Linked DNA regions of Tribolium castaneum. The protein of the gene in region 1 purifies or fractionates together with the protein of each later gene. This does not show direct contact. Links are inferred from orthologs where the notes say so. Each region holds a gene or a part of one and is shown in the gene's direction. Other genes may lie near its edges.

Region 1 (3,946 bases):
TTTGCGTAAATATTACGATAAGTTGAGCGAGGGACGTTTGGCAACACTGGAACGGTTGTATCCAAGGTTACAGGCGTGGTTTGCATGGTTTAATACCACGCAAAAAGGGGCGGGGCCTGGCATGTACCGGTGGAGGGGGCGTGACGCAACAACCAATCGTGAGCTGAATCCGAAAACTTTAACTTCGGGCCTTGACGATTATCCACGAGCGTCACATCCGACCGAAGCCGAATACCACGTCGATCTATACTGTTGGATCGCCATAGCTAGTGATACTTTAGCAAGGTTGGCAACACTGTTGGACCGTGATGGGTATAAATACGAACAAACTGCCGATTATTTGAAAGACAATTTCCTATTGGATAATTTACATTGGTCTAATTACGCATCGCGTTACGCCGATTATGGTTACCACACTGATTCTGTTAAATTAAAACGACCGAAACCGTTACCAAGGTCACAAAACCAAAACATGGAGATGGTGCGTGTGACCTTGAAAAATCCCGAATACCGATTGGTCGACTCGACTTTCGGTTACGTCAGTTTGTTTCCGTTTTTGTTACAAATGATTGATTCGGATTCGTTGAAATTGGGCCAGATTTTGGATGACCTTCGAAATCCTGACTTGTTATGGACGAAGTTTGGTCTAAGATCACTGTCCAAAAATTCACCCCTGTATATGAAACGCAACACCGAACATGATCCGCCATATTGGAGGGGCCAAATTTGGATAAATATCAATTTTCTAGCAGTCCGGTCCTTGTATTTCTACGCCAATACGGAGGGGCCCTATCGGGATAAAGCCAACGCGATTTATAAAGATTTGCGGGAAAATGTGATTAAAAACGTGATGACGCAATATTTCAAAACGGGTTATCTGTGGGAACAGTATAATGACGAAACGGGGGAGGGGAGTGGCTGTAGGCCTTTTACGGGCTGGACGGCCCTGGTTGTATTACTTATGGGCGAGCAATACTGAGTCAATAAAAATCTAAGTACGGTCCTGTGTTTTATTTAAAAATTAAAAATAAAACCCGCGCTATACGGAAGTTTAAGGGTCGGTTTACAGAAGCGTCATTAACTTAATCTGCAATTAAATGCGTCATTAATTTAATCTGCAATTAAATGCGTAATTTTTTGAAATTTGAAAATGAAGGTTATAGTAGGTTATTTGGGGCATGCGTGGTCAATTATCATCTGTCAAAAAGTTTGGTTATGATGGCTTCGAATTTGGCCAAAAATTTCGAAAATGTTACAATAGATGACCAAGAATTTGCCGAAAAATGCCACGAATTGGCCCAAGGTACGTACAAGTGGCCCCACATTGTGACATAACCTCAACTTTCAGCACTTGAATCGGGTCAAGTGACCTTGTTACGCCTTGTCGAGGACCTAGGGGGGCTCCTTATCGATACGAGCCCCAAGGGGCGCGAGCTGGGCATGTGGGTGTTGACACGTGTCGTCGAGACTTTGCCCCCCGATGTTTTGGACGAAAATCAATTAAAATTTTTAAATCAGTTTTACACGGACCGGCTTAAGGACAATCATTTTGTATGTCAGTCCAGGGGCTACTGTTTTTTAACTGAGGGCGATTTTAGGTGTTACCGGCCGTTTTGCGCGGTTTTCTCGCCTTAATTCGGTGCGAGGGGGCCCCGAAAGGGGGCCCTGGCCCTTTTCTCGTCCAACTCTTCCACAATGTCTCGTGCCAACAACAACAAGAAAACGACAGATTAGCAATTTATCAAATTTTCGAGACTTGTTTGGAGAAATTTTGGCCAGGTTTGGGCCCCCTTTTAAAATTCAATATCAGTCTTTTTTCCAGAATTGGATGAAATGGGGCCCGACTTTGTCTACGGTGTTATTTCGGCGGTTGATGGCGAACGCAGCCCCAAAAACCTGATTTTTCTCTTTGATTGGTTTCCGAAATTTTTACGAAAAGTCAAATTGGGGCACCTGGCTGAGGACGCTTTCGAAATCCTGGCGTGTTATTTCCCTGTTGATTTTAGGGCTCCGCCACAGGACGAAAACGTGCCCACTTTGTCCCCATTAAACGACAATCAATAATAATTTTTTACAGGGCATAACTCGAAATACCCTCGCTGAAAAGCTCGCCTTTTGCCTCGTTGCCGTTCCACAATTTGCCGAATTCTCCCTTCAATTAGCGTTAGAAAAATTCGATTCTTCGCTTGAAATTGCTAAATTGGATTCGTTACGACTTATTGTAAGTGGTTTTTTTTGTAGCGGACCGCAGACTAAACACCAAACTTGTAGGAACTATCATTTGTTACTTTTGATATTTCACCAACCACAGTATGGCCACTCATACAAAAAGAACTGTTCCAAACGACAAATCCAGCAATTGAAAAAGCCTGTTTAACAACAATGACAGCTGTTATTAAGCACACACGTGACCCAAATTTGACAGAAACGGTCAAAGATATCTGCGATACAATCAAAGGAAATTTTTTACCCGACTCAAAATTATTCCAACCGTCGGCACGTTTGATAATCAGTGTTGCCAACGCATCGGACAGCGTTGCCAACCTCGTAGCGCGTGAAACCGTCCCCATATTAACAAACATGTATAATATAGCCAACACAACGGCTGAAAAAACACCATTTTTGCGCCTACTAACCGACTTGTATGCACTTGCCAGCGATTTAGAAAATCTCGGGGAAGTACCGGTTTTACTTGTAAAATCTGACTCACCAATCGCTTTTGATTGTTTACGTGACATTTCGCCGAAACTACCCGAAAAAATCCGACTTTTACTTTACCAAAACTACGTCAAGTTGTTACAAGTGCCACAAGAAGGCGCTGTCTTACAATGTCTTGAAGCTTTAGCACGGGATTACCCGAACGAAGTGGCTACGCACGTGGTCGGTAATACAGAAAACTATACTCCATGTTTTCTAGACGCCTTGTGTGTGACTTTGGCAAATCAAAAATTTTTCACGGCCCATTTAATCGATTTAATTTTGAAAAATTGTGCAATAAAAACATTACAAAAAGTTTTAATCAAATTTGACGATTGTGACGCGATTTTTGACGTTTTAAACGCACAAAATATCACCCATGTGTTGATCGAGATGGCTTTGACTGGTGATACGTGTCACGAAACGATTGCATTTGTTTTGAAAATTGTGATTGGTCGAATGTCGAGCGAAAAACAAAATGAAATGATTCGAAACGAATTAAGTCGAATTAAGATTGAGGATATTTTTTTACTAAGCGGGATCTTGACTTGTTTAAGGCGCGATGTTGTAATTAATTACGAAATTTTAAGCGAATTAATTGAATTTATAATTAGGGAGAGGGATAATTTGAGACGTAACGCAGCTATAGAACTGGTTGCAAATATTTTGAACAAATGTCCCAATGGTAATTTAATTCCGTGTTTTAATTAATTATTACAATTAATTGTAGATGATGTAATTAGGGAATTTTTGGAACGGGTTGACACTAAAACCGACCCCATTCTTACGTCATGGCTCACCAAGGCCTTAATTATGCGTAATCACGAATTAGGCACATTCTGGACCACAAAAGTAGGCAATTAATTGCGTTAGCTCAGTCGTTAATTAATTAATTTTCCGCCTTAGTTAATCGATTATTTGGATAAAGATGAAAGTATAGCTCCGTGTTTTCGCACAATTATGTCCAATTCGGAGTCTTTAAGTACCAAAAGTCATTGCAATGTTGCGTAAGTTGATAATTTAGCACTTAAATAATTTTAATTAAATAACTTGTAGATTTTTGTACCAGCAGAAGTTTTTTACGATAGTTACGAATAAATTAAGTGCGAATTACAGTCCAGACAAGAATTCGTATTTATCAGGCCTTGGATATTTACTAGAGTTCGCACCAAAACCGGCCGTTTTAGTCCAATTTAGAAAAGTAATAATTTCAAATTGAATTTAACCAATTAATTTAATTTTGTAGATT
Region 2 (4,157 bases), on another chromosome or scaffold:
AAACAATACTGTATTTTAGAATAAATACAGGGCAAATAACAGTTATCTACAGTAACTACAGTGCGGCCTCGATTATTCGAACCATTACTTATACTGAGGAATGTTTAAGTACTCTAATTACTTACTGACTAGCTAATGTGCTGCTGGATCACTGATTGACTTTGTTTTGTCACAAGTGAACGAAACGGTAATTGCGTACCTAACACCAGAAGTCACTCGTTCGACAAAATGGGGATTCTCAGCACCTGAGGTGAACATCAAGACTCTTCCTTTCCTGGGCTCTACTGTAACATTTTTCATCGGTTTCTCGGCATCGTCTACAAACACGAAACGTCCTCCTTTAAAATCGTTAGAAAAATCCGTGAGATACAACAACGATGTGTAATGAAATGACTCATAAGTTTCCTGAAAAAAATATTTGAAAACTAACTTTGATAAATTAAAATAGGCACCTTGTCCACATGAATGTGCCAATACTCATCGTGGGGCGTCTTTGACTCCAAGTTGGACAATTTCGAAAAAAAAGTTGGATGCGTCAAGTACAGACTTTCACTGTCTATACCGAAATTTTCAGCAATTGCATGTTTGATCTTATTTTTGACAATTTTATAAATTGCTAAATCCGACGCTGTGATGAACTTTTCTGACCCTTTCAGGGTGTAAATATTTACAAATTTCTCCCCAAACGAAAGGGCACCTGAGTGGATGTCCAAGATTGAAGCGCCTCCAGAGGAGCCCCCTAGACTGATTCCTTTCTTGGCCACATTTAGCAGAGTTTCTGCTTCGTTAATTGTGACAAGTTTATCGGAGACAAACCTCCCGCATTTAATTGGAACACAAGTGGGGAATTGTTTAATTTCATCCAAATATTTGGTGTCACAGTCCACCGTTTGCCCCCTCATGGGTAAAATATCCTTTTGCTTCGCCAACGACACTTCTTTGCCATCCTTTGACGTGTACCAAACGTATAAGAGAACTCCTAATATGACAATACCTCGGCTCCAAATGCGCTGATTTGGGAACTTTGGCATGGGGCCATAACGGCTAAAATGTACAAAAGATCAGAACGCTTAACGTGGAATAATAAAAATCGTACTAAGGTGTTGGTGTTTCTTTCACATCGTTATTTTTCTTTTCACCGTTCTTGCGTTTTTGTGCCTTTGTTATTCCGGTCATAACCTAAAAAATTCTAATAATTTGTGTCCAAAAGTGTATTGGTAGATCACACGTTTGTCATTTACATCCAATTCCTGGTGGAAATTACATCAAATTGTAAAATTAACGAGTAATTAAAAAAACATCCCTTATTTTGACATCTCCATTTTTTTGACACATTTCATAACCTAAAACTCGGGCAAATATAACCTAATATTCGAGAACTCGTGTCAGTTTGCAACAGTTTTTTTACAACAAATCGAAAAGAACAAAGGGTTTGAATGCAAAAAGCATAAAATTACTTTCAAGTGCCACGTAATTACACAATGATAGCAGAAAACAGGTATTTTTTTAGGCCTATTATGTTTCAACTAAATTGTATTTTTATTTGATAAACAGCGATTTAAATCCTTCGGCCCCATGTGCCGAAATAATCGACGACATTGAGGACCTTGTATCCGCTCAAGACATAACACCGAAAGAACGATACAGTTCGCGTAAAAACGTTAAAGTCAAAGCTAAAAAGAGGGTAAAATTTGTGTCTTAAAGTTCGGCAAAAATTATGCATTTGTTTGTAGGACAAAAAGATTGAAAATGTGGAGCCAGTCAGCGGTGAAAATATTCCAGGGACTCAAAAAATTTACATTAAAACGTGGGGCTGTGCCCACAACAGCTCAGACACTGAGTACATGGCTGGTCAGTTGACTGCTTACGGTTACAAATTGACCGAAAACAAAAAAGAGGCCGACCTTTGGTTACTCAATAGTTGTACAGTCAAAAACCCAGCTGAGGATCACTTTAGGTAATTTTTTTTTACCACATTATTGATAAAATCTTTCAATAATTTTTACAGAAATCAAATTCAAGAGGCCAAAGAACTAGGAAAGTACATTGTTGTGGCCGGTTGTGTCCCGCAGGGCGCCCCTAAAGCCTCCTTCATTCAAGGTCTTAGCATTATAGGGGTGCAGCAAATTGACAGAGTTGTGGAAGTTGTTGAGGAGACTTTGAAGGGAAATACGGTCAAATTGTTGGGTACAAAAAAAGAACAAGGGAAAAAAATTGGGGGTGCTTCTTTGCTGTTGCCTAAAGTTAGGCGAAATCCCTTGATTGAAATTATTGCTATCAATACAGGGTGTTTAAATCAGTGTACTTACTGTAAAACTAAACATGCCAGGGGGGAATTAGGAAGTTATCCACCTGAAGAGATCGTGGAAAGGGCGAAACAAGCTTTTGAAGAGGGTGTTGTTGAGATATGGCTCACGTCGGAAGATACAGGTATTTAATTTTGCATCATAGTGAGCTATGGCAACGTTTAAAACCCGAATATATGTTTTTCCCCAAATATTTTTCATTGCAGAAGTAACAAACTTAATAATCACTGCATTGGGACAAAAATGATATTTTTGTTTTTGCGTTTTTGCAGGTTTTTCAAATAGAATTGCAAATATTTTGCAAAATATCGTTAAAATAATTGTTACAATAAAAATTAGAGTACATATTTTACCCAGTTCTTGTTAGGTTCTAGCTAGAGTTGTTCTAACAACTGAGTTTATCTATTAAAGAATCGTAAATGTTTGCAATGTGACGAGCAGAGTGAAGACAAGTCCTTCAAAAAAAACTGTCGTCGCACTTTGGCCTGAAATTTAATTCTGGCTTATTTTAGGCACATATGGAAGGGACATCGGGACTTCGCTCCCGGAGCTGCTTTGGAAGCTTGTCGAAGTAATTCCTGAAGGCTGTCGCTTGAGATTAGGGATGACCAACCCCCCTTACATCCTCGAACACTTATCAGAAGTTGCAAAAATAATGAACCACCCCCGTGTGTACAGTTTTCTCCACGTTCCAGTCCAATCCGGAAGCGACCAAGTCCTCTCCGACATGAAACGCGAATACTTCCGAAAAGATTTTGAACACGTTGTTGATTTCCTCCAATCGCAAATCCCAGGCATGACGATTGCCACCGACATAATCTGTGGATTTCCCACAGAAACGGAAAAAGATTTTGAAGACACTTTATCCCTATGCGAAAAATACAAGTTCCCTAGTTTATTTATCAACCAGTTCTTCCCAAGGCCTGGCACACCGGCGGCTCTGCTTCCGAGAATACCAGCGCAAGAAGTGAAAGGCAGAACTAAGCGGTTGACCGATTTGTTTTATTCGTATCAGCCGTATGATAAGAAAGTAGGGGAAGTACAGGAGGTGCTAGTAACGGAAGTGTCCCACGATAAGAAACATTACGTGGGGCATAACAAATTTTACGAGCAAGTTTTGGTGCCGAAAGATGAGAAGTACATGGGGAAGCTGGTCACTGTGAAAATTGTGAGTGCGACGAAATTCTCAATGACGGGGGAACCCCTAAGCCAGGTCATGCCTGGAATTGCCAAGCCATTACAACACGGCGAAGTTTCGGGAGTCAAGTTGAAGAAAACGGACGATGTGAGGGTGCTAATCACCCTAGTTGTGTTAGGAGTGTCTATTATTTTCAGATTCTTGTGGATGATACTTTAAGTTGTTAAATTTTATTATTAAACAAATATAAATTATTTGATTTCAAAAGAATTTTTTTGGATTCACCTTTGCGCAAGTGTTACGTTGGCAGTACTAATTCATAGTCCAGTATTTTTTTCGGGAAGAATTCTCTAAGCAGTACCAACCTTTAGTTGTCAATATACAAATCATCGGTTTCAGAAAATGGTAATGATCTGTTAGGGCGTATGACACAACAACAGAACCCTGACTAACGACTAGAGGTTGAAATAAACTTGTATTTTTGAAAATTTTATCAATTTCTAATTCGAATTAGTAGGCGCGCTCGCAGTTGACAAAACTGACACTTGACAGCATCACAAAAGTTGACGTTTATTTATTTTGAGCGTGTATGATAATGGCTGATGCGAATGAATTGCCGGAAAACAGTCGTGGAAAGTCTCACACAGCCCCATTTAGTGAGGAGTCTGATTCCGAGGAGTCCGTTCAACCTGTCCTTCTGGACTTGGGCGACG
Region 3 (3,500 bases), on another chromosome or scaffold:
ATTCGTTACCAAATTTATAAATGCGTTGGTGGCGCCGCCTGGTGACGTACGCGACCCCCTTAAGAAAATCGTTCGCTAATCGCAGACGTCACGTATTAATTATTAACAAATTGCTCAATAAACCGGCTCGATCTGAATTATTTTACGACAATTTTATTGCCACTTTTTCAATTATCTGCGTTTATCAATCATGTTGGATGCCATCAGACCCATAAAATCAGCGCTACTGGCACCAAAAAACCCCTAAAATCTTATTTATGATATTCGGATGGGGTCAGAGGGTATCGATAGGGGGTTTCGGTTGGCGCCTCTGTGACCAAAAAAAGACACACGACTTAGATGCGGACGATTGATTGATTGCTTCGATTTTATAATCTAGATAACAGGCATCTGAGAGACGTCAAGAACCCTGATTTAGGTATAACAGCATTCTTATGACACAATCTGACGCCGGCGCCTGAATATTTCTACACACTTTTATTTTTATTTACATATTGATATATTAATTGCCCGATGCTGGGGACGGCTATAAACAACACATGAAAAAAAACACTATTTAGAGAGCTTGCGGAATGTTGTTGACACGTTGGGTTTTATTATACAAGACCTGAAACTCTTTTTTCACAACGCAAAATAAATGAGATAATTTGCTGCAACTATTGACCTGGAAATAATTGAAAAATTATTATTTTTTTACTAACTTCGGACTACGGAGGACTATAAGTTAGGATACAAACTTGCAACATTTTCTGAACACAAAACAAATCGGCAAGACTGTATTTCTTTTGTCAACGGTTTAGGCCCCAAAAACATTCAAAAATTTGAATTTTTGAAAAATTTTAAATTTATACCTAAATTATAGAAGATGGAAATGTGGTGTCACAGACTTTTTTGTAGGAAATTTAATTCTCTACAACTTTGTTCCTTACACTTTTTTTGTATCTCTAACCGTATTCCCAGCGTTTTGATAAATATGCGACGGTGCGCAAAAAGTTATCACTTAGAATTATCAATTTGCGTTCCATCTTACATTTTTGCGAACGCTGTAATTACGGCTGAAGATACAAAAAAATTGTGAGAATCAAAGTTGTAGAGAATTAAATTTTCTACAAAAAAGTCCGCGACACCATATTTCTATCTTCAACGGTTTGGGTATAAAATCACTTGACCACTGGAAAAATGAAGCAAATCCGTCGCTTGAGCGTCTTTGAATGACTTTGGGGCCTAAACGGTTGAAGATAAAAATATGGTCTCGCGGACTTTTTTGTAGGAAATTTAATTCTCTACAACTTTCTTCCTAACATTTTTCTTGCATCTGTAACCGTATTCGCAGCGTTTTGGAAAATATGAGACAGTGTGCAAGTTAGTAAAAGTTTGAATTTTTTTTAAATATAGTTTACGATAATGTTTTTGCATTATGTTTATGTCTTACTATTGGGAATTTAATGCCTTAATATTGGGAATTTAATGCTCTATCTGTCTGTATTTTTTTTTGTATGCTATATGTTAACCGTTATGCAAATACAACCATTAAAAAAAACTTAGACGGTATTGGAACAACTGTGCTCTCTGGCGACATTAAACGAAACTACCGAGAACGGGAGCATTTTATTTGTACGTCGTTTCATATCCTAACCTTTAGATATAATTTTTTTTATTTTGATCTCAGTGAGCTAAAAAAAACATGTCCTTTGAGTTTGAACTGTCTTCTTTGATGTGGTGAAAGTCCCACTTTTTTAGGATTAAGCCTTTATGTCATATTAAAAAAAAACTTGTTTATCTCAAAAACACAATTGAGCAAAAACAATTTATTGTTAAAGGTTACACCCAAATATACAAAAAATATATAGTTAATAATTTTAATTAATAATTATTAATAATTTTAGGTGAGTCAGAGGGGGTTAATATCTACAGTTTTTTGTAAAAAAACAGATAATTTTCTAACATTTAAAGGTCAATAATAATGGACTTTATCAAATCGCTGGGACACCCTGTATCTCTTTTATATTATTTTATTATAACTTTTCAGTTTACAAAAAATTCAAAAATAAATTCAATAGAATCGTTAATTAGTCAAAATTTAAAATTAAATTTTACACACTTGACTATATATACACTGATAAGGACTTTTTTTAATTAATAATTATTTTTTATTAATTTTTTTGTTAATGAATAAAATCCTAGCAGTTTTATGAGTTTTTGGACACTAACTGTGAATTCAGAATTTGCCTTTTTGGCCAGAAAATTTTTTTTTCATTCTTACTTTTGTCTGTAAGTGAAAAATTACCAAAAAATTAGGGGAGACACTTTTCTAATGTTCAGTCAGGCTTGTAACATGCAAAGAATTTTTATCTAATCTAATTTTTTAGAGCGCGATTTAATTTTCCCAGTTTTCCTATGGGTGTGACTTTTTTCAGATTTTTTGCAATTCCTTTAATTAAAATTAAAAATATTATAATTTTAAATTAATGAAATTAAAACTTTAGGCAACTCCTGAAACACCGGCGTACAACTGGTTGCCTATACTAGATGCAAATATTGTCGGAGAACAATAAAATTTAGATTTTAAACTATTAATGCAATATTTATCCACTATTTTGAAACTTTATTAACTAAAATAAGTGTTTTATTTTAGTTAATTCCTATTTTTATTGCACTTTTTGAGTTAGTTCAGTTTGACATTTGGGGAGTCCACATTTTTCTTAAAATGCGCCTCGAACAGCTCGAAAACCAAAACCCCAACGTTTATAACAAAACCACTGATCGTTTAATCACAGCTGAAGAAGAAAACGACGATGTTGTTGACGAATTTGACTCCAGAGAAATTTTTGGTGACACTAACATTAACCTCACAAATTCATTCCTAACTTGTAGATTTCAGATCTGATTAGAAATATCACTGATCCAGAACATCCCCTAACTCTAGAGCAATTGCACGTCGTCCAGGAAAGTCTGATTCAAGTTGACAATGCAAATAATTCGATTTTTGTAAATTTTACACCAACTATACCACATTGTAGTATGGCCACACTAATAGGACTTTCAATTCGTGTGAAATTACTTAGGTGTTTACCGGCAAGGTTTAAAGTGAGGGTTGAGGTCACTAAAGGGACTCATAATGCGGAAAATTCGGTAAATAAACAACTAGCTGATAAGGAAAGGGTTGCGGCGGCTTTGGAAAACCCACACTTGATCCAGGTCATCAACCAGTGCATTTCCAACAGAAAACGCGGTTAATTTATTGTAAAAAAATGTAAAGTGTTGTAAATAAAGAAATAAAAAATTGGGGTTTTTATTTCATGGTTGGTACCGTCCTGTCACTGTCACAATTTTTTAGGTTAAATTATTAGTCATTACAAGTTTCTTTTATGTATTTGTAATGATTTACGAAGCAGGTAAGCATTGCCTGATTGTTGGTACCACTGATTTTTCCCAAGTTTGCACCCCTGTTTTTGTCTACAGGGTGTCTCATATGCGTGGCCATACTTTGGGGCGGGACT
Region 4 (3,987 bases), on another chromosome or scaffold:
ATTTTATACAAAAATGGGCTCGCAACTGTATTTGAAGCTCCCAAGTGGGCAAAAACTGCCGGCTTTGGGCCTAGGGACTTGGGAGGTGGGTTATTGGCATCAAATTTTTTTTATTTCATTTTTTATCAATCAGGCGATAAGCGATGAAGAAATCGAAACTGCGGTCAACAACGCCCTAGATTTAGACTATCGGCACATTGACACAGCTTGGGTTTATGAAAATGAGGCGGCGATTGGGAAAGTGTTGAAAAAACGCTTTGCTTCCGGCTTGAAAAGACAGGACGTTTTTATTACGACTAAACTTCCGATGACGGGGGTTCACCCAGACAGGGTTGACATGTTTATAAAAAAGTCATTGACGAATTTGCAATTGGATTACGTCGATTTGTACTTGATTCATTTCCCCGTTGGTTGTACTTATTACGAGGGGGAAGCACGGCCCAGATTTAACGATAAAGGGGAGATTGAGACTGAGGGAAAGACCGACCACGTCGCCCTGTGGAAGGTTTGAAAAAAAATAACTTAACACAAAAAACGCTTTATCAATTACCGAATTACCACCGTTTTACCAGAATAAAATAGTGGGCTATTTGATGCGCTCACTCGCTATTGCTCGTTCGTGCTTTAAACAGTATTAATTATGAACGAATTAACACAACTTGTAGCTATTTTTTGCCCATTGTTGTAAATTTTGTAGAAAATGGAAGAGCAGGTTGATGCCGGAAGGGCCAAAAATATCGGTTTATCAAACTACAACATTTCTCAAATTGAAACCGTGCTAAAAAACGCAAAAATTAAACCCGCCGCACTTCAAGTCGAACTCCACGTCTATTTGCAACAACGCGAACTTGTAGAATTTTGTCAAAAAAACGGAATTGCTGTTATTGCCTACTCTCCTTTGGGGAATCCCGGCATGAACAAGTTTTTGCAAAAAATGGGCCAACAGTACGATTTTTGCGCCCTTTTTTTCATTTCTAGACACTTTTTTGCAGACCCAGACAGTTGGCAAATATTTTGGAAGATGCAAAAATTAGTGAGATTGCAAAAAAACACAAAAAAACACCAGCTCAAGTGGCGTTACGTTTCTTGATTCAGAGGGGCATTGCGGTTATTCCTAAAAGTGTAACGCCGAAACGAATCGATGAAAATCGAAAATTGTTCGATTTTGTGTTGAGTGACGATGAGATGAAAACTTTGTATGGTTTAAATGTGGGGGAGGCGGCCAGAGTTTGCGATTTTAAGGTCTTTGGAGGGTAAAGAATAATCACAGAGTCAGTTTTTAGCCTTACTTTGGTTATTTTAGACTTGATAAACACCCCGATTTCCCGTTCGCACAAAAATGAGCTTTTTTAATTGAAACATTACAATGTGACCGGATGTTGGTTGCATAACCCATGATATAAAATGATTATGTTGTATTTTACCCTTTACTTAATAAATAATCAAATAAATAGCAAATTCATGTTTTTACACACTGATGATATCGATCATTATGCAACGAAATTTAAATAAAAAAATAAATGACGTAATGTTGGTTGCATAAGCTCGCAACCAATTGCGACACAACCTCACTTTTTTTGGCGGGAAAAGTTGTCACTGTGTTTTGCGTGATGAGTGCCTCTTTGTACAATGAAGACAGCCTCCCTGACCTGCTCCCCATCTACTACAAGCGTCTGTTCCCCCATACAGCGCTCCACAAATGGCTTTGCTACGGTAAGTTGCCTCCAAGCTCGATTTTGGTCAAGTGAGCCCCTCAGGTGACCCCAACGTGTCCAACCGGCGCGAAATTTCGTTCACTCTAGTCGGAGACATTTACCTCCGTTACCAGAGTTTCGAAAATGCGGAGGACTTTGCCCAAGCGCTCCATAAACGCTTCCCGGTTAAAATCGATATTGGGGCTATTTACAAGCAGCGACTTGAGTCGTCTGGAAGTTACTCTAGCTCCAAAACACCAGTCGAGCGAGAGATTGTGTTTGATATCGATATGACTGATTATGATGATGTTCGGACTTGTTGTACGGGAGCTGGGGTGTGCCCCAAATGCTGGAAGTTTATGGTGATTGCGTGCAAGATTTTGGATGGGGCTTTACGGGAGGACTTCGGTTTTGAGAACATTTTATGGGTGTTTTCGGGTCGGAGAGGCATCCATTGTTGGGTGGCTGATAAAAAGGCCCGGATCTTGGATGATAATCAACGGTCGGCTATTGCTGAATATTTGACTTTGTTGCGAGGGGGCCTTGTGGTACGAAAAGTCAAGTTTTTCAACATGCATGCGGCCACTGAGTAATTATCTCCTCATTTTTGCTCCCAAGTTGTGTAATAATTGGTTAATTCAAGGAGGGCCTTAAAAGTCATTGATGAATATTTCGAAAAGTCGATTCTTGTCGAACAGGACATTTTAGGGACTTATGAGCGCTTGGACGCTTTTTTGGGCAACATTGACGAGGGTTTTAGTCCTTTGTTTCGAGACGCAATGACCAAAGTTCAGACTTCGGTCGAGCGCTGGAAGGCTTTTGTTAACACTTTTCAGACGTTACAAAGAGAGCAAAAAATACCAAAACACTACAGATACATGGTTGAGGAGATGAAATTTTACTATGCGTATCCGCGACTTGATATCAACGTCACCAAAAGCTTAAATCACTTGCTGAAAGCGCCGTTTTGCATTCACCCGAAAAGTGGCAAAGTTTCGGTGCCTTTTAAGCCCAAATTCATCGAGCATTTTGACCCAGATGCCGTACCCACAGTCAGGTAATTAACTGCCCGACACTGAAAATGTACCACTTTGAATACTATACAAGTGTTGCTGTTATACTTCTGCCCGAAACTGTGTCTTATTTTTTCACATTTTTTGCCCGATTTTTTACGGAAATATACAGGGTCTCTTTTTTGAGGCTGGCGAATATTTGTTTAAGTAATTTTGATTATAAAAGAATACATACATAGAAAAAAAAAATGGTTTCTGAGTGATTATTAGTGTTTGAGGTACAGTAAAAATGCACTAACTCTGTATAAAAAGTGGCACATTTTTTCCGGTGTGCAGTTTAGTATTCACAGAGCATTTTGCTTTCTTAACAAACACCGAGAAAAATGGTTTCTGAGTGATTATAAGAAGTGGCACATTTTGTGTGGCGTGCAGTTTATTCAGGAAGCATTTTAGCCAACTCTTGGACGAGATAAACACCTACGATGCCAAAACCAAAGCTCAGGAGAAAGATTTAGCGGAAAATTCCCAAACCAGTGTTAAAATAAAAGACTACAAGAAGACAAGTTTACTCAAATATGTTACAATTTTTTGCGAGTTTTTAAGAGGCTTGCAGGCTTCAGCTGCCCGAAACAGGGCCATAAAAAATGGTGATTTTTATTGCCTTGATGTAACGAACACAAATTAATTGTTTGAATTTCCAGGAACTGTAATGGAATATTAATTAGTTTACGTTTTTTATTACTCATTGTTACTGATTACGAAATAAATGAACATTTATAATTTTATCGTTTTATTTACCCTTACACACACAATATTTTTTCAAAAACGAATCACTAACACACCTAACAATGGCAAAATCTAGCCTTTTAATTTCACCATCGAGCTCAAAAACCTTATCAACATACGTAACAAACGCCTCAAAAACTGAATAGGGGTACGTTTGGACACTTATTAGTAATTTCTTGTAACCCGAACTCCAGGAAGCACTGGAACTTAACACTTTCCTCAACTCGTAACTCCGACACATTCGCTGATCAACAAACTCATTTACTTTATTCACAATAAAAAGTGAGGCGTTCCTCACAACTAAATCGTCAAGATTCGTCAAAACGAACCCATCACAGGGACAAGACCTATTCTCAATTTCCGAATCCAGACACGACTTTTCCGTAACATCCATAAAAAGCGACTCACACCTCGGACAACTCTGACTAGGTTTCGGGTCCTGATTCACCTGAGTCAGCACCATAATGTCTTGCAAAGTCATGTACAGATCAAAC
Region 5 (3,500 bases), on another chromosome or scaffold:
AAATAAAAAATAAGAATAAGGTAATAAAAACTCTTAAAATAACAAAAGTAAAAAAAGTTAATATGGTAGCGCTCAGCTCCATTTGCGTGTGCGTCATCTGACATTTCTGTCACTACGTGTACATAGCAGGGGCATAGCGGTGACAAACTATCAAATATTTTTTGAGGTTACGAAGTGTTTAAATTATGAGTTGTTACAAAAAATACAGATTCACAAAACAAGAACTAATAAACGCAGAATCAAAAACTAACGAAACGCAAATTACAAAACACAATAAACGAACAGAAAATACTTGCGATTAACACCGATAACACTTTCGACAACCATGCGACGACGTCTATAATTTACTGTCAATGTCACTTTGACAAATTCGTGACACTTGACGGTGTTGTCGAAGTGCACATGTAAATTAATGTTCAAGGATACCACCCTTAGATAGCCCTTAGTTGTTTAAATTTGCATTGTTTTTGATATTTTTTTATAGCTTCGTGTTGGTAATGAAAAAATGAAATTGATGATGCACACGCAAATCGAGCTGACCGCCACTATACCAATTTACGGTCTAATAGCACCTAACGCAATATCCCTGCACACAAATTTTCAAATGAACATTCTTTAGGACATCTAATTTTGATAGTAATTGTTGCCAATTTAGTTTCAAAGGCAATGTGTAGTTAACTTCTATTTTCAATATAATAAGTAAATAAATGTTCCAGTTTAAGTGACGAGCAAGTTACAACCACTCCAGCAAATTGTATGTTTGTGAAGTCATCGGTTAGACCCGGTTTGTTACCACACATCTTGCAACATCTTCTTGCAGCGCGTAAAAAAACCAAAGCTGAGTTAAAGGAAGCAACAGATCCTGTTGTAAGAGCCGTTTTGGACGGTCGGCAATTGGCTTACAAAATTTCAGCTAACTCGGTTTATGGTTTTACGGGAGCTCAAGTCGGAAAATTGCCTTGTTTGGAAATTTCAAGTGTAATTTGTTTCACGTTTTTGTTAATTATTGTTTTTATTGTTGTGTTACTTTAGAGTGTAACTGCTTATGGTCGAACAATGATTGAACAGACGAAACAAGAAGTTGAACAACATTATCGCATTGAAAATGGTTACGAATCCGATGCGATGGTTATTTATGGGGACACTGACTCGGTTATGGTTAACTTCCGAGTGAAGTCTTTAGAAAGAAGTATGGAGCTGGGGAGGGAAGCAGCTGATTTGATAAGTGCCAAGTTTATAAAGCCCATCAAGTTAGAATTTGAAAAGGTGAAAATTATGTTAATTTTTATCAGAGTGGTCGTGACTTTGAAGTTAAGTTGGCAGTCTTGTTATTTTAAAGTCACAGCTAACTTTAATCAAGTTTTTCTTTATCTTTTTGTTTATGTTTGTTTGGTTTAAGGTTTATTGGCCATACTTATTGATTAATAAAAAGCGTTATGCTGGATTGTATTTTACAAAACCGGATAAATACGACAAAATGGATTGCAAAGGTATTGAAACCGTACGAAGGGATAATTGTACATTGGTTGTTGATGTAATTAATTCGTGTCTGCGAAAACTTCTGATTGATAAGTAAGTTTTTTATATTTTATTTTATTTTTAACGTAGCCTACTAGATAGTAGATTATGTTATTAGGAGCAAAAGTGATACTTTATCTGGCGAAGCCGAAGGTTTACTGTTTTTTTTTAAATAATGTTTTTAAACATTAATTTTTTGTAAAAGTAGAACATATTACACATGTTTGTGCCTTTGAAGACTAAGACATCGACTTTTGATTTCTTTTTTAATATTTTAAAAATACGTATTCGAATTAAAAGTAATTTTTACAGCATAATCTTTTACCAAAAAAATCGTCGTAGTAGGGTGCCATTTGAAAAAAAAAAAAAGAAAAAAAATATCACAAACGATAGGGTTTCTAACACGCTTCAATTTGATGCTTTGATAATCTCCCAAATTTTCATGATGTAAGCGTAAAATGCAAAAAACTACATTGAAATATTTTTTTTTCAAACCATTGCAATAATTTTTTTATAATAACATTTCTTATACTTTTTAAGTGAGAATTCCGAAACTGAAACAGTTTGTTCGCAAAATCCGAAGAGATGATTAATTAAAAATTGTTAATTTTTGAGTTATTAATTTTTTTTAATCAATGTTGCAAACTAAATTTAAAGTAAAGACTGCTTTAATTAGATGTTTCATTGAACACTTTTGATGGCAATTCTAAATAACGTTCTTAATATTGAATGATTTGAGAAAGAAAATATGAAAGCAAATATTTTTTTATATGAAGTATACTTTGCTATTTAAATTACTCCTAAGTAGAAACAACCAACAATTTTCTAAGTCAAATACAATGTGTTCAAAAATGGCTGTTCATCACGTCGCCTATGAAATTTGAACGTAGTATGCCGTGTAGTTTAAATTAAGAACTTTGCCGAAAAATGCAAAAAAAGTGAGTGAAAAGTTAATTCAAAAATTTCAGTACTCAGAAAGTACAATTAGTATTATTTTTTGTATTTGGACGAAGCGACACATTGAATTTAAATGCCATAGTCGACTTGATGGACAACAATTTTTGAACACATTCTATTTGTTAATGTGGCCCACTTTCATGTTTTTCAAATTTTTCAGAGATCCAGATGGTGCTGTTAATTACGCCAAAAAAGTTATTTCGGATTTGCTCCAAAACAATGTAGATATTTCTCAATTGGTGATTACGAAAGAACTTACAAAAAATGATTACGCTGCCAAACAGGCACATGTTGAATTATCGAAAAAAATGACTAAACGAGATCCTGGAAATGCTCCTAAATTGGGAGATCGCATACCTTATGTTATAATTGCAGGAACGAAGAATTCCAAAGCTTTTGAAAAAGCAGAGGTGATTAATTCACTTAAATTGTTTTTAGGTTATTGAACGTGTTTTATTACAGGATCCTATCTACGTTTTGGAGAACAACATTCCAATTGATTCGCAGTATTACTTGCAAAATCAATTGTCTAAACCTTTGATTCGCATTTTTCAACCGATTTTGGGAGACAGTGCTGAGTCAATTTTGCTACGTATGTCTAATTATCTACAGTTTACAACGTTTACGCTCACTCGTTTTGGCAAACATAATGCTTGTTAAACAAAATCTTTTCATAACTGATCACGTAAATAACTATTTGTGGTGTTCTAGGGGGTGAACACACACGGACTAAAACAATGGTCACTTCTCGAGTGGGTGCTTTATCAGCATTTACTAAAAAGAAAGAGACTTGTCTGGGGTGTCGTTCGGTTTTACCAGCTGGTTATGAAGCAGAAGCTGTTTGTAGTCACTGTAAACCAAAGGAGGCAACGTTGTATCAACAGGAATTGGGACATCACAGAATGTTAGAAAATCGTTTTTCGGAACTTTTTACCGAGTGCCAGAGATGCCAGGGATCTTTGCATGAGGAGATTTTGTGCACAAGTCGTGACTGTCCAATTTTTTATATACGGAAGAAGGTTCAA
Region 6 (4,184 bases), on another chromosome or scaffold:
TTTACGATTGGATAACTTTTTTCCTAAGCATGATTTTTTTTATTTATCGACAATTCTTTATATAATTAAAATTAATAAATTATTATGGAGAGGATGAAAAAAATTAACGATGCTCGAATGTTGAAAAAGTCCCGTTAAAGTTTGTCGACCATTTTCAAGTAAATGGCAACTTAATTCAATTAAACGTGCTGCCATTTAATTGCCAAAAATATTTTTTATTTTAATTAACTAATTAAGTAATTAAAATAAAAAAAAATCTGTGAGATTAATTTTTGAAACGTAGTAGAAATATATTTTTGGACCCCAGTCCACTTAATCCACCTCAGGTGTGCCTCACTTTTGGTTTCGTATGAAGACAAAAGGGGTTCAACATCGAGGTAAAAATCTTAACCGTTGCTTCGTTAGTCCAAACAATCAATTCCTGTTTCCTCAGAAGCGTCCCCAAAATCCCAAAAATCGACTTAACGATCGTATTATTATCAGAATCGACGTAATCATTAAGAATGTGCAAAACTTTCGCCGATAAATCGCTAAAAGTCCGGCGTAAAACCGGCTCTGGCACCGTCTTGATCCCCATATTCAGCAAAGCCAACGCCGCCGTCAACTGCTCCTCACTGCGCTCCTCCCCCTCATACACACGTTCAAGTGCAGTTATCAGCGAACAATAATATTCAGTGGCCGTCTCAGAGCCCCCGTTTTCCCTAATCACCTCGCTAATCGCCGCAAGCATCGCCAGCATCTCCTTATGCAGGGCGGAATCGGCCCGGAAGACTTTCAAAAAGCGGGTGAACGACATGTTGCTGTAACTCGACCATTCGGACGCAAACGATTCCATGGTTTTGTACGAGGAGTAGGTGCCAACTGACGACTCCACATCCTCGTCCACGCCCATGGGCTCTGGGTCCGGCCGCGGCTTGAAGGCCTGAACTGCATCGTGTTTGCGCAAAGCCTCAGACGTTAAACCGCTCGAGCCCAGATTTTCTTGAAAGAAACGCGATTTGGCCAAATCACGGTACTTGTGCGTCTCGGGGTTCGAGCTCGAGCTCTGGCCCTTCGGCCACCGCTTGCCCTTGGCCTGGCCCTTCAGCTTGGACCGGAACTTCCCCATTTTTGCTAAAGGAAAACAGATCAAAAAAACATAACCTCACTTAACGACACGTGCCGTTTTTTATCGACTGGTGCAAATCTACGCATTGTATTGACAAAAAGCAGAAAAAACTTACGTTTTTCCACTTATTAACAGCAATTGGTTTTAGATAATGTTGATATTTACACAAAAAAAAACTTATTTAAACTTGATAGTTGACATTTAACTTTGCCACACGTGGTGGGTTTCACTTTCACCAACCGTGAAATAAAAAAATTACAAGAAAGTTCAAATTAAATTAATTTGGCCCAATATTTCGACTCATTATTCCTTTTTGATTGTTTCAAATGCCACACGGGGTGGAACGCCACACCTGGAAAATATCTGAGCGTTGGTTTTGCCCCCAAAAACCGGGCAGTGATTTTAGCTAGTCCCCAGATATTGGTGCCAGTTTTTGGCGGGATACCATTTAAATGTGAGGTTAAGTGAGTTAAGTTTTAACTAAACACTGTAAATTGTGAATTTTCGCCATGGATTTCACGTCGTATCGCCGCACGGTGCGAAAAGCCACCGCCGAGGAGCCCCTCTCCGAGCTGTACCCCCACGACGTGAGCATGTACCGCGAAAGCCCCAAAAGCGAGATTTCCATCCTGGAATTCGAGCAAATCGCCCTGGACCGGCTCAAATTGCTGCGAATTATCGAGCAAGCGGCCCCCAAAGGCAACCGGTTGTACAGCGACCAGTGGAAGACGTGCATTAAGGACGACTTGGCCAAGGCAGGGTTGAAAAAATACGTGCGCTTGATGGGGGGCACCAGTGGCACGAGCGACTTGGATTACCAAGCCCGCAAGGCCGATTACCTCTCACACTTTATCCTCCGGCTGGCGTATTGCCGCTCGGAGCAATTGCGACGGTGGTTTTTGAGCAGGGAACTCGAGTGGTTTTGGATTCGTTTCACGGCTCAGTCGCGCGAGGGGGTCAAGAATTTTTTACGAATTTATAAATTCTCATATACTCCTATTTCGGAGGAGGAGAAGGTTTCGCTAAGGCATGAACTGGAGGCGTCAACTGCGGGGTTGATTCTGTTCGAGGAGACTGAATTTTTTAAAGTGCCTTTTACTGAAGTTTGCTCGTTGGTGAGGGGCCGGAAAGTGTTTCTTAAGGCTGGGTTTGCCTATATTCCGTCCAGCGAGCTGGTGGTCTGCATCCAGTCGAAGTTCAGGGCTGAATTAAGCGAAGAGCTAACTGTAAGTCTAGTTATATAAAAACATATATAACGAAATAAGCCCAATTTTAGTCATTTTCAGAGAAATTATAAACGTATCTTAAAAATATTCTGCTATAAATGCTATAAGAATTTTGTTATAAGTACCGAAAATTTATTATTAACTGAAACCTATTTTTTCTACAATAACAATAAAACATCAAACGGAATTTTTTTTTTAAAACGTTTAACATTTGCACTCTGACAGGTTTGAAATCCAGCAGTTTAATTTAAAAATACTGTGATGTATGGTTTGAGATCGACTGCATATTTTATTTATTTTTATGGACTTACTATTTCGTTTTAAAACTGAGCACCCCAATAAAAACGTGGTCAAGAGTGCTTTGTAAATTTCAGCAACAATTGGTAGTTACCTATGAAATTTTCACAGCACGCGTGACTACGATTTTTATTTCGACACACGCCACCTTGACCGTTTAACAATTTGTGATTTTGATGTTTAAACATTTAATTCCTGCTATTTTAGAAAAAAATCATATTTAGACAAGTGTTATAAAGCTTGTGGAACCAAAATTAATAACCAAATTTTTTCTTATATTCTATTTTACGTAAGATGATTTTTTTATATTTTATTGTAAAACGAAATGGGCGCTTATGTTCTCAACTATTGAAGGCACTCGCTCGCTACGCTCGTCGTGCTCTAAAATAACTCCAATTCGAAACTTTCAGTGGTACAGCCACCGCATCCACCTTTTCGACGACGAGCGTATTGGGCCCCTTTTGTCCAATTTCCACAATTTGCACACGGGCCAAAATTACCGAGTCCGTGAAAACCACGAAAGTGTCGATCCAGCAGATCTGGACACATATGCTAAAAAACACTTCCCTCTCTGCATGAAACACATGCATGAGGTTTTGCGGTCTGAACACCACCATAAACACCAAGGCCGTCTAACTTACGGTCTTTTCTTGAAAGCTATCGGGCTTTTGTACGAAGATGCGCTCAAATTTTGGAGGGATGAGTTCACGAAAAAAATGGATTTGAATCAGTTTGAGAAGGGTTACGTTTACAATATCAAACACATGTATGGGTTGGTGGGGAAAAGGGCCAGTTATTCGCCCTACAGTTGTGTTAAAATTATTACGAGTAGTGTGGGGCCTGGGGAGCACCATGGCTGTCCGTTTAAGCACTGGGATGTTAATCTTGTTAAGCAGAAAGTTATCGAATGTGGTGTGAGCGTTGATGGTAAGTTGGCTTACTTTTTTATTTAAATGAAGTACTTTTTGTACCTATTACAGGTGCTAATGAAATCAAGCAGCTTGTTTCTGATGGTCATTATCAACTAGCTTGTGGAAAATATTTCGAATACACTCACGGAAAAGCGCTGGGAAATGGAATTAATCACCCTAATCAGTATTTTGAAGAGAGCATGAATATTGAAAAAGGAGCTTCAGGCAATAAGAAATAATATCTGTTACTACAATTAAACGTTATTTTTTAATAATTTATTTTATATTTACCCTTCAGTCTAAATTGCATCCGTTTTTTTAATTTGGTTTTAATAAAGTCCCAAAGACTTTAATTGTTGATACATGCTTTCACGTTGTATTTTATAGTTAAATAAATATTTTGGAGAATAATAATTGTGTTTCGTGACTTCAATGGCCCAAAAATTCCATTCAAATAAATTTTATTAACACATCGTACACAAAAGATTACATTCGTAATAAAGTGTCAAAAACATATTGTAATCTAGAGTTTAAGCTATCTCTACTAAAATAACTTTGGTAAATAAAACTGAGTCATTCAATTGTTTGACCTAACAACTGTACGTTTCTTTGGCTAATACTTGAAGCCCGTGCTGAAACTCT
Region 7 (3,171 bases), on another chromosome or scaffold:
TTACTAAAAAAATTTAGGAAGTCTATTTTGCAAACGCAAAGCTGTCTTATCCGACCGTTTCCGTGGCTTCGAACCAACAAATCGCGTCATGCTAATCGGCACTTTAGCACACACCCTCCTCCAACAATCTTTGAGAAAAAAATTAACAAAAAGGAAGCAAATTGAGGCGATTTTGAAAAATTTGCTCGCATCCAAAGACACGATAAAAAGATTGTACGAAGCCAACCTAACCGTTGCCGACCTTGAATCAGACTTGGAGGTGTTTGTGCCCAAATTGGTCGCTTTTATCAGCGAACACATAACAACGGGGCAAATCTGCGACATTGAGGATATTGAGGAAAACTTGTGGTGTCCCCAGTTGGGGCTCAAGGGAAAAATCGATGTTACAGTGCGGTCAAATACCGGCGTTATGCCCCTCGAGGTCAAGACAGGTCGAGCGACTGTCTCACTTGAGCACAGAGGACAAGTCGTTTTGTACTTAATGATGATGAATAAGTTCGGGCTTGATGTCTCCTCTGGTCTGTTGCTCTACTTGAAAGAAGGGGTTTTGAAGGAGATTAAGGCCACAGAGCAAGAAAAACGTGATGTTTTGATTTTACGGAACGAATTGGCGTATTTTTTGGCCAGTGACGTAGGGGAATTACCGGAGCCGTTGAATAATATTCGGGTTTGTCAGAAGTGTGCTTTGAGTACCGTTTGCAGCGCCTATTTGAAGTGAGTAACTTTAGTTAAATGTTTTATTAATAATAGAAATAATAAACATAATAAATATCAGTTTGACAGTTCGAATTTGACATATTTAATGTCACTTTGACAAATCATTTTTAAAAGTCCGAAGGTATTTCCCCGAAAATTTTGATAAGTTTGTTATTATTGTATATATTGAAAATAATAAATTGGACCAAAAACAACATCAATCAGTCCACTCGAATTACATAAATCAGTGATTATCTCAAAATCATTTTTAAACTTAATACGGTGTTATTAAAATTATGAGACCAATAAGTGAAACCGGAAAATGTAACTTTTTTAACTTGCTTAAGCGCGTATTCTGTAATGAAATCGTTAAAATTTAAAGGCCGTTAATCGTTGTTGCTATAACAACAGCCAATAAAATTCCTAGATTTGCGATTTTAACCAGTGTTAAATTTCAACAATCCGTTAAAAAAGTTACTGAATTGGGAATTTTTGGACTTTGACATTGACCCTAATAACAAATTGACCATGTTTTTTAACAACATTATGGATAATTTTTACTCAGCGTTTCCAGAAAAACAGATCAAACGTAATAATGGTTCCAAAATTTCTGCTTCTAAGTGGCTTAGTCCAGGATTTAAAAAAATTAGTCTAATATTTTTTTCAAATTGGTTCAGGGACTACTTTAAAAAAATAAAAACAAAAAAATTGGTTTTACACCTTTAGTTTAAAAAATGAATAAAAAATAACAATATAAAAATAAACAGGGGTAGCCATTTGAAATAAGCACAATAAATGGCTCTAAAAAATTGTAAGCACCCTGTAGCAATTCAAATCAATCAAACTTGATAAACTGTTAGAACTTGTTCAATATGTACGTAGTAATAATGTGATCAAAAAGGCACTGTTTCTATTTTTTTATCAATCTTTAAAACAAAAATTGTAAAACCGTTTTTTTTTCTTTATTTTTTTACAGTAATTTTTGAACCGATTTGAAAAGAACATCAGGGTCTTGTAAGAAGCTAAAAAAGTATCCTAATGAGCACAAAAAGATAATGTCATGCCATTAAAAATATATCATTTTGTCGTCATACTTTTTTGGGACTCTCTGTATAATTAACAATATTTTCCTGAATTGTCTCCTAGAGTATAAACAGCATCTAGAAAATATAAAACACCAACTTCTTCCTAAAGATTTTAAATGTCTTTTCTTAATAGTTCTACTGATGAAATAAAGACCTATTTGATTAAAAAAAATCTACAGTATTGAGAAATCTCTGAACAGTAACTTTAGTGATATTTAATGGGAATTTAATTAATTTATGTTTATAAATTCTTTATGATTTATTTTTATTATTTAAGTTTAAGTTTGTATTCATAAATATTATTAAAATATACTTAGTTTGACATGTGCATTTATAGCATGAATGAAGAATTATTATCATTATTATTAATGTTATTTTTTTTGTTCAGGTTTGAAGATCACGATTTAACAGAAAATAAAGCGATGCAAGAAGTACAAAAGAAATCAATTGGTCATTTGAGTCAAGCACACTTAGATTATTTTCTTAAATGGAGTAATTTGTTGAGCATGGAAGCACAACATAGTAAAACAACAAAGTCGCTACAACAAATTTACACTTTACCACCGGCTAAAAGGTTCGCGTTTGTTGTAGTTTGAGTGGTTTTTACGTTTTTGTCTATTTTTTAGAGAAGCTTTAGGTCGATCGATTGTCAACATGAGAGTGACTTTTGTCGAAAATGAAACCAACGGTTTATTTAAACATACAATGGAAAAGGAAAATCCCAGTTTGGCCAACCTTACGGCTTACGATATCATTGAAAATAATTACATAGTCGTCAGCACTGATTCCCGGCCTGCTGTTGCGTCAGGATTCGTAACAGAAGTCTCCCCAACTCAAATCAGTATTACACTTGATAGGTATAATAAACCACGCCCCCTTGTGTCCTTGTCATTTTTAATTGTAGAGATCTCAATGTAAAATATCGCAATCAATTGTTTCATCTCGACACCTACGATTCAAATATCACTTTCACTTTTAATATGACAAGTTTAGTGTTGCTTATTGAGAATTCGGAAAGGGCTGCTCAGTTAAGGAGTGTTATAATTGATAAAGCTCCGCCCACTTTTGCACCAAAACTGCCGTCAGTTGTTGCGAAAAAGGGGGCCCCGATTTTACGACGTCTAAATCATGTGCAACAGAAGGCTGTGCTTAAAGCATTGTGCGCAAATCAGTTTTTGCTGATCAAGGGGATGCCAGGCACTGGTGAGTGAAAAAATCTAACTTGGAAACTACAAAACATACACAAGTGTCCCAGTGAGTTATGGATCTTTATATAATTGAAAGATAAATATTTTTTCCAGAAGCTGGAGATACTAACCCCCAGCCTCACCTAAAATTATTTTCAATCATACAGGGTGCTTGAGAAATGCGCTACTATGAACTTATGTTT

Evidence for each region.
Region 2: the proteins of Mms19 (region 1) and threonylcarbamoyladenosine tRNA methylthiotransferase purify together in Homo sapiens (affinity purification with mass spectrometry; 4 studies listed by BioGRID and IntAct, counting the BioPlex papers as one, with this or other methods). This does not show direct contact. The link is inferred for Tribolium castaneum from reciprocal best matches to the Homo sapiens genes MMS19 and CDKAL1.
Region 3: the proteins of Mms19 (region 1) and galla-2 purify together in Homo sapiens (affinity purification with western blotting; 11 studies listed by BioGRID and IntAct, counting the BioPlex papers as one, with this or other methods). This does not show direct contact. The link is inferred for Tribolium castaneum from reciprocal best matches to the Homo sapiens genes MMS19 and CIAO2B.
Region 4: the proteins of Mms19 (region 1) and Prim1 purify together in Homo sapiens (affinity purification with western blotting; 3 studies listed by BioGRID and IntAct, with this or other methods). This does not show direct contact. The link is inferred for Tribolium castaneum from reciprocal best matches to the Homo sapiens genes MMS19 and PRIM1.
Region 5: the proteins of Mms19 (region 1) and PolD1 purify together in Homo sapiens (affinity purification with western blotting; 3 studies listed by BioGRID and IntAct, with this or other methods). This does not show direct contact. The link is inferred for Tribolium castaneum from reciprocal best matches to the Homo sapiens genes MMS19 and POLD1.
Region 6: the proteins of Mms19 (region 1) and Prim2 purify together in Homo sapiens (affinity purification with western blotting; 5 studies listed by BioGRID and IntAct, with this or other methods). This does not show direct contact. The link is inferred for Tribolium castaneum from reciprocal best matches to the Homo sapiens genes MMS19 and PRIM2.
Region 7: the proteins of Mms19 (region 1) and Dna2 purify together in Homo sapiens (affinity purification with mass spectrometry; 3 studies listed by BioGRID and IntAct, counting the BioPlex papers as one, with this or other methods). This does not show direct contact. The link is inferred for Tribolium castaneum from reciprocal best matches to the Homo sapiens genes MMS19 and DNA2.

What each region holds. Positions count from the first base shown.
Region 1 is NC_087400.1:4,137,469-4,141,414, reverse strand, and holds the start of Mms19 (MMS19 nucleotide excision repair protein homolog), read left to right. Parts: upstream 1-1,146; 5' UTR 1,147-1,215; coding exon 1,216-1,303; intron 1,304-1,348; coding exon 1,349-1,551; intron 1,552-1,598; coding exon 1,599-1,779; intron 1,780-1,822; coding exon 1,823-2,028; intron 2,029-2,077; coding exon 2,078-2,221; intron 2,222-2,271; coding exon 2,272-3,382; intron 3,383-3,427; coding exon 3,428-3,549; intron 3,550-3,603; coding exon 3,604-3,704; intron 3,705-3,753; coding exon 3,754-3,898; intron 3,899-3,943; coding exon 3,944-3,946. Other genes in the region: GCS1 (mannosyl-oligosaccharide glucosidase), read left to right, coding at 1-979. UniProt on the Homo sapiens protein: Key component of the cytosolic iron-sulfur protein assembly (CIA) complex, a multiprotein complex that mediates the incorporation of iron-sulfur cluster into apoproteins specifically involved in DNA metabolism and genomic integrity.
Region 2 is NC_087394.1:32,857,710-32,861,866, forward strand, and holds threonylcarbamoyladenosine tRNA methylthiotransferase, read left to right. Parts: upstream 1-1,357; 5' UTR 1,358-1,481; coding exon 1,482-1,498; intron 1,499-1,554; coding exon 1,555-1,684; intron 1,685-1,733; coding exon 1,734-1,957; intron 1,958-2,008; coding exon 2,009-2,430; intron 2,431-2,818; coding exon 2,819-3,663; 3' UTR 3,664-3,714; downstream 3,715-4,157. Other genes in the region: 2-oxoglutarate and iron-dependent oxygenase domain-containing protein 3, read right to left, coding at 133-405, 453-1,044, 1,097-1,179, 1,229-1,237; l(3)04053 (endosome-associated-trafficking regulator 1), read left to right, coding at 4,034-4,157. UniProt on the Homo sapiens protein: Catalyzes the methylthiolation of N6-threonylcarbamoyladenosine (t(6)A), leading to the formation of 2-methylthio-N6-threonylcarbamoyladenosine (ms(2)t(6)A) at position 37 in tRNAs that read codons beginning with adenine.
Region 3 is NC_087394.1:1,667,320-1,670,819, reverse strand, and holds the end of galla-2 (MIP18 family protein galla-2), read left to right. Parts: intron 1-2,635; coding exon 2,636-2,831; intron 2,832-2,881; coding exon 2,882-3,237; 3' UTR 3,238-3,285; downstream 3,286-3,500. Other genes in the region: transmembrane protein 234 homolog, read left to right, coding at 3,380-3,395, 3,463-3,500.
Region 4 is NC_087395.1:25,582,804-25,586,790, reverse strand, and holds Prim1 (DNA primase small subunit), read left to right. Parts: upstream 1-1,463; 5' UTR 1,464-1,610; coding exon 1,611-1,713; intron 1,714-1,757; coding exon 1,758-2,283; intron 2,284-2,337; coding exon 2,338-2,751; intron 2,752-3,160; coding exon 3,161-3,354; intron 3,355-3,408; coding exon 3,409-3,428; 3' UTR 3,429-3,487; downstream 3,488-3,987. Other genes in the region: aldo-keto reductase family 1 member B1, read left to right, coding at 1-85, 134-505, 698-945, 993-1,253, 1,304-1,343; uncharacterized protein LOC659605, read right to left, coding at 3,498-3,987. UniProt on the Homo sapiens protein: Catalytic subunit of the DNA primase complex and component of the DNA polymerase alpha complex (also known as the alpha DNA polymerase-primase complex - primosome/replisome) which play an essential role in the initiation of DNA synthesis.
Region 5 is NC_087397.1:21,404,755-21,408,254, reverse strand, and holds part of PolD1 (DNA polymerase delta catalytic subunit), read left to right. Parts: intron 1-716; coding exon 717-978; intron 979-1,032; coding exon 1,033-1,266; intron 1,267-1,399; coding exon 1,400-1,572; intron 1,573-2,635; coding exon 2,636-2,885; intron 2,886-2,937; coding exon 2,938-3,067; intron 3,068-3,186; coding exon 3,187-3,500. UniProt on the Homo sapiens protein: As the catalytic component of the trimeric (Pol-delta3 complex) and tetrameric DNA polymerase delta complexes (Pol-delta4 complex), plays a crucial role in high fidelity genome replication, including in lagging strand synthesis, and repair.
Region 6 is NC_087395.1:23,554,214-23,558,397, forward strand, and holds Prim2 (DNA primase large subunit), read left to right. Parts: upstream 1-1,384; 5' UTR 1,385-1,617; coding exon 1,618-2,334; intron 2,335-3,041; coding exon 3,042-3,558; intron 3,559-3,611; coding exon 3,612-3,781; 3' UTR 3,782-3,902; downstream 3,903-4,184. Other genes in the region: RRP12-like protein, read right to left, coding at 338-1,108. UniProt on the Homo sapiens protein: Regulatory subunit of the DNA primase complex and component of the DNA polymerase alpha complex (also known as the alpha DNA polymerase-primase complex) which play an essential role in the initiation of DNA synthesis.
Region 7 is NC_087394.1:25,789,546-25,792,716, forward strand, and holds part of Dna2 (DNA replication ATP-dependent helicase/nuclease DNA2), read left to right. Parts: intron 1-17; coding exon 18-714; intron 715-2,169; coding exon 2,170-2,355; intron 2,356-2,407; coding exon 2,408-2,638; intron 2,639-2,685; coding exon 2,686-2,984; intron 2,985-3,171. UniProt on the Homo sapiens protein: Key enzyme involved in DNA replication and DNA repair in nucleus and mitochondrion.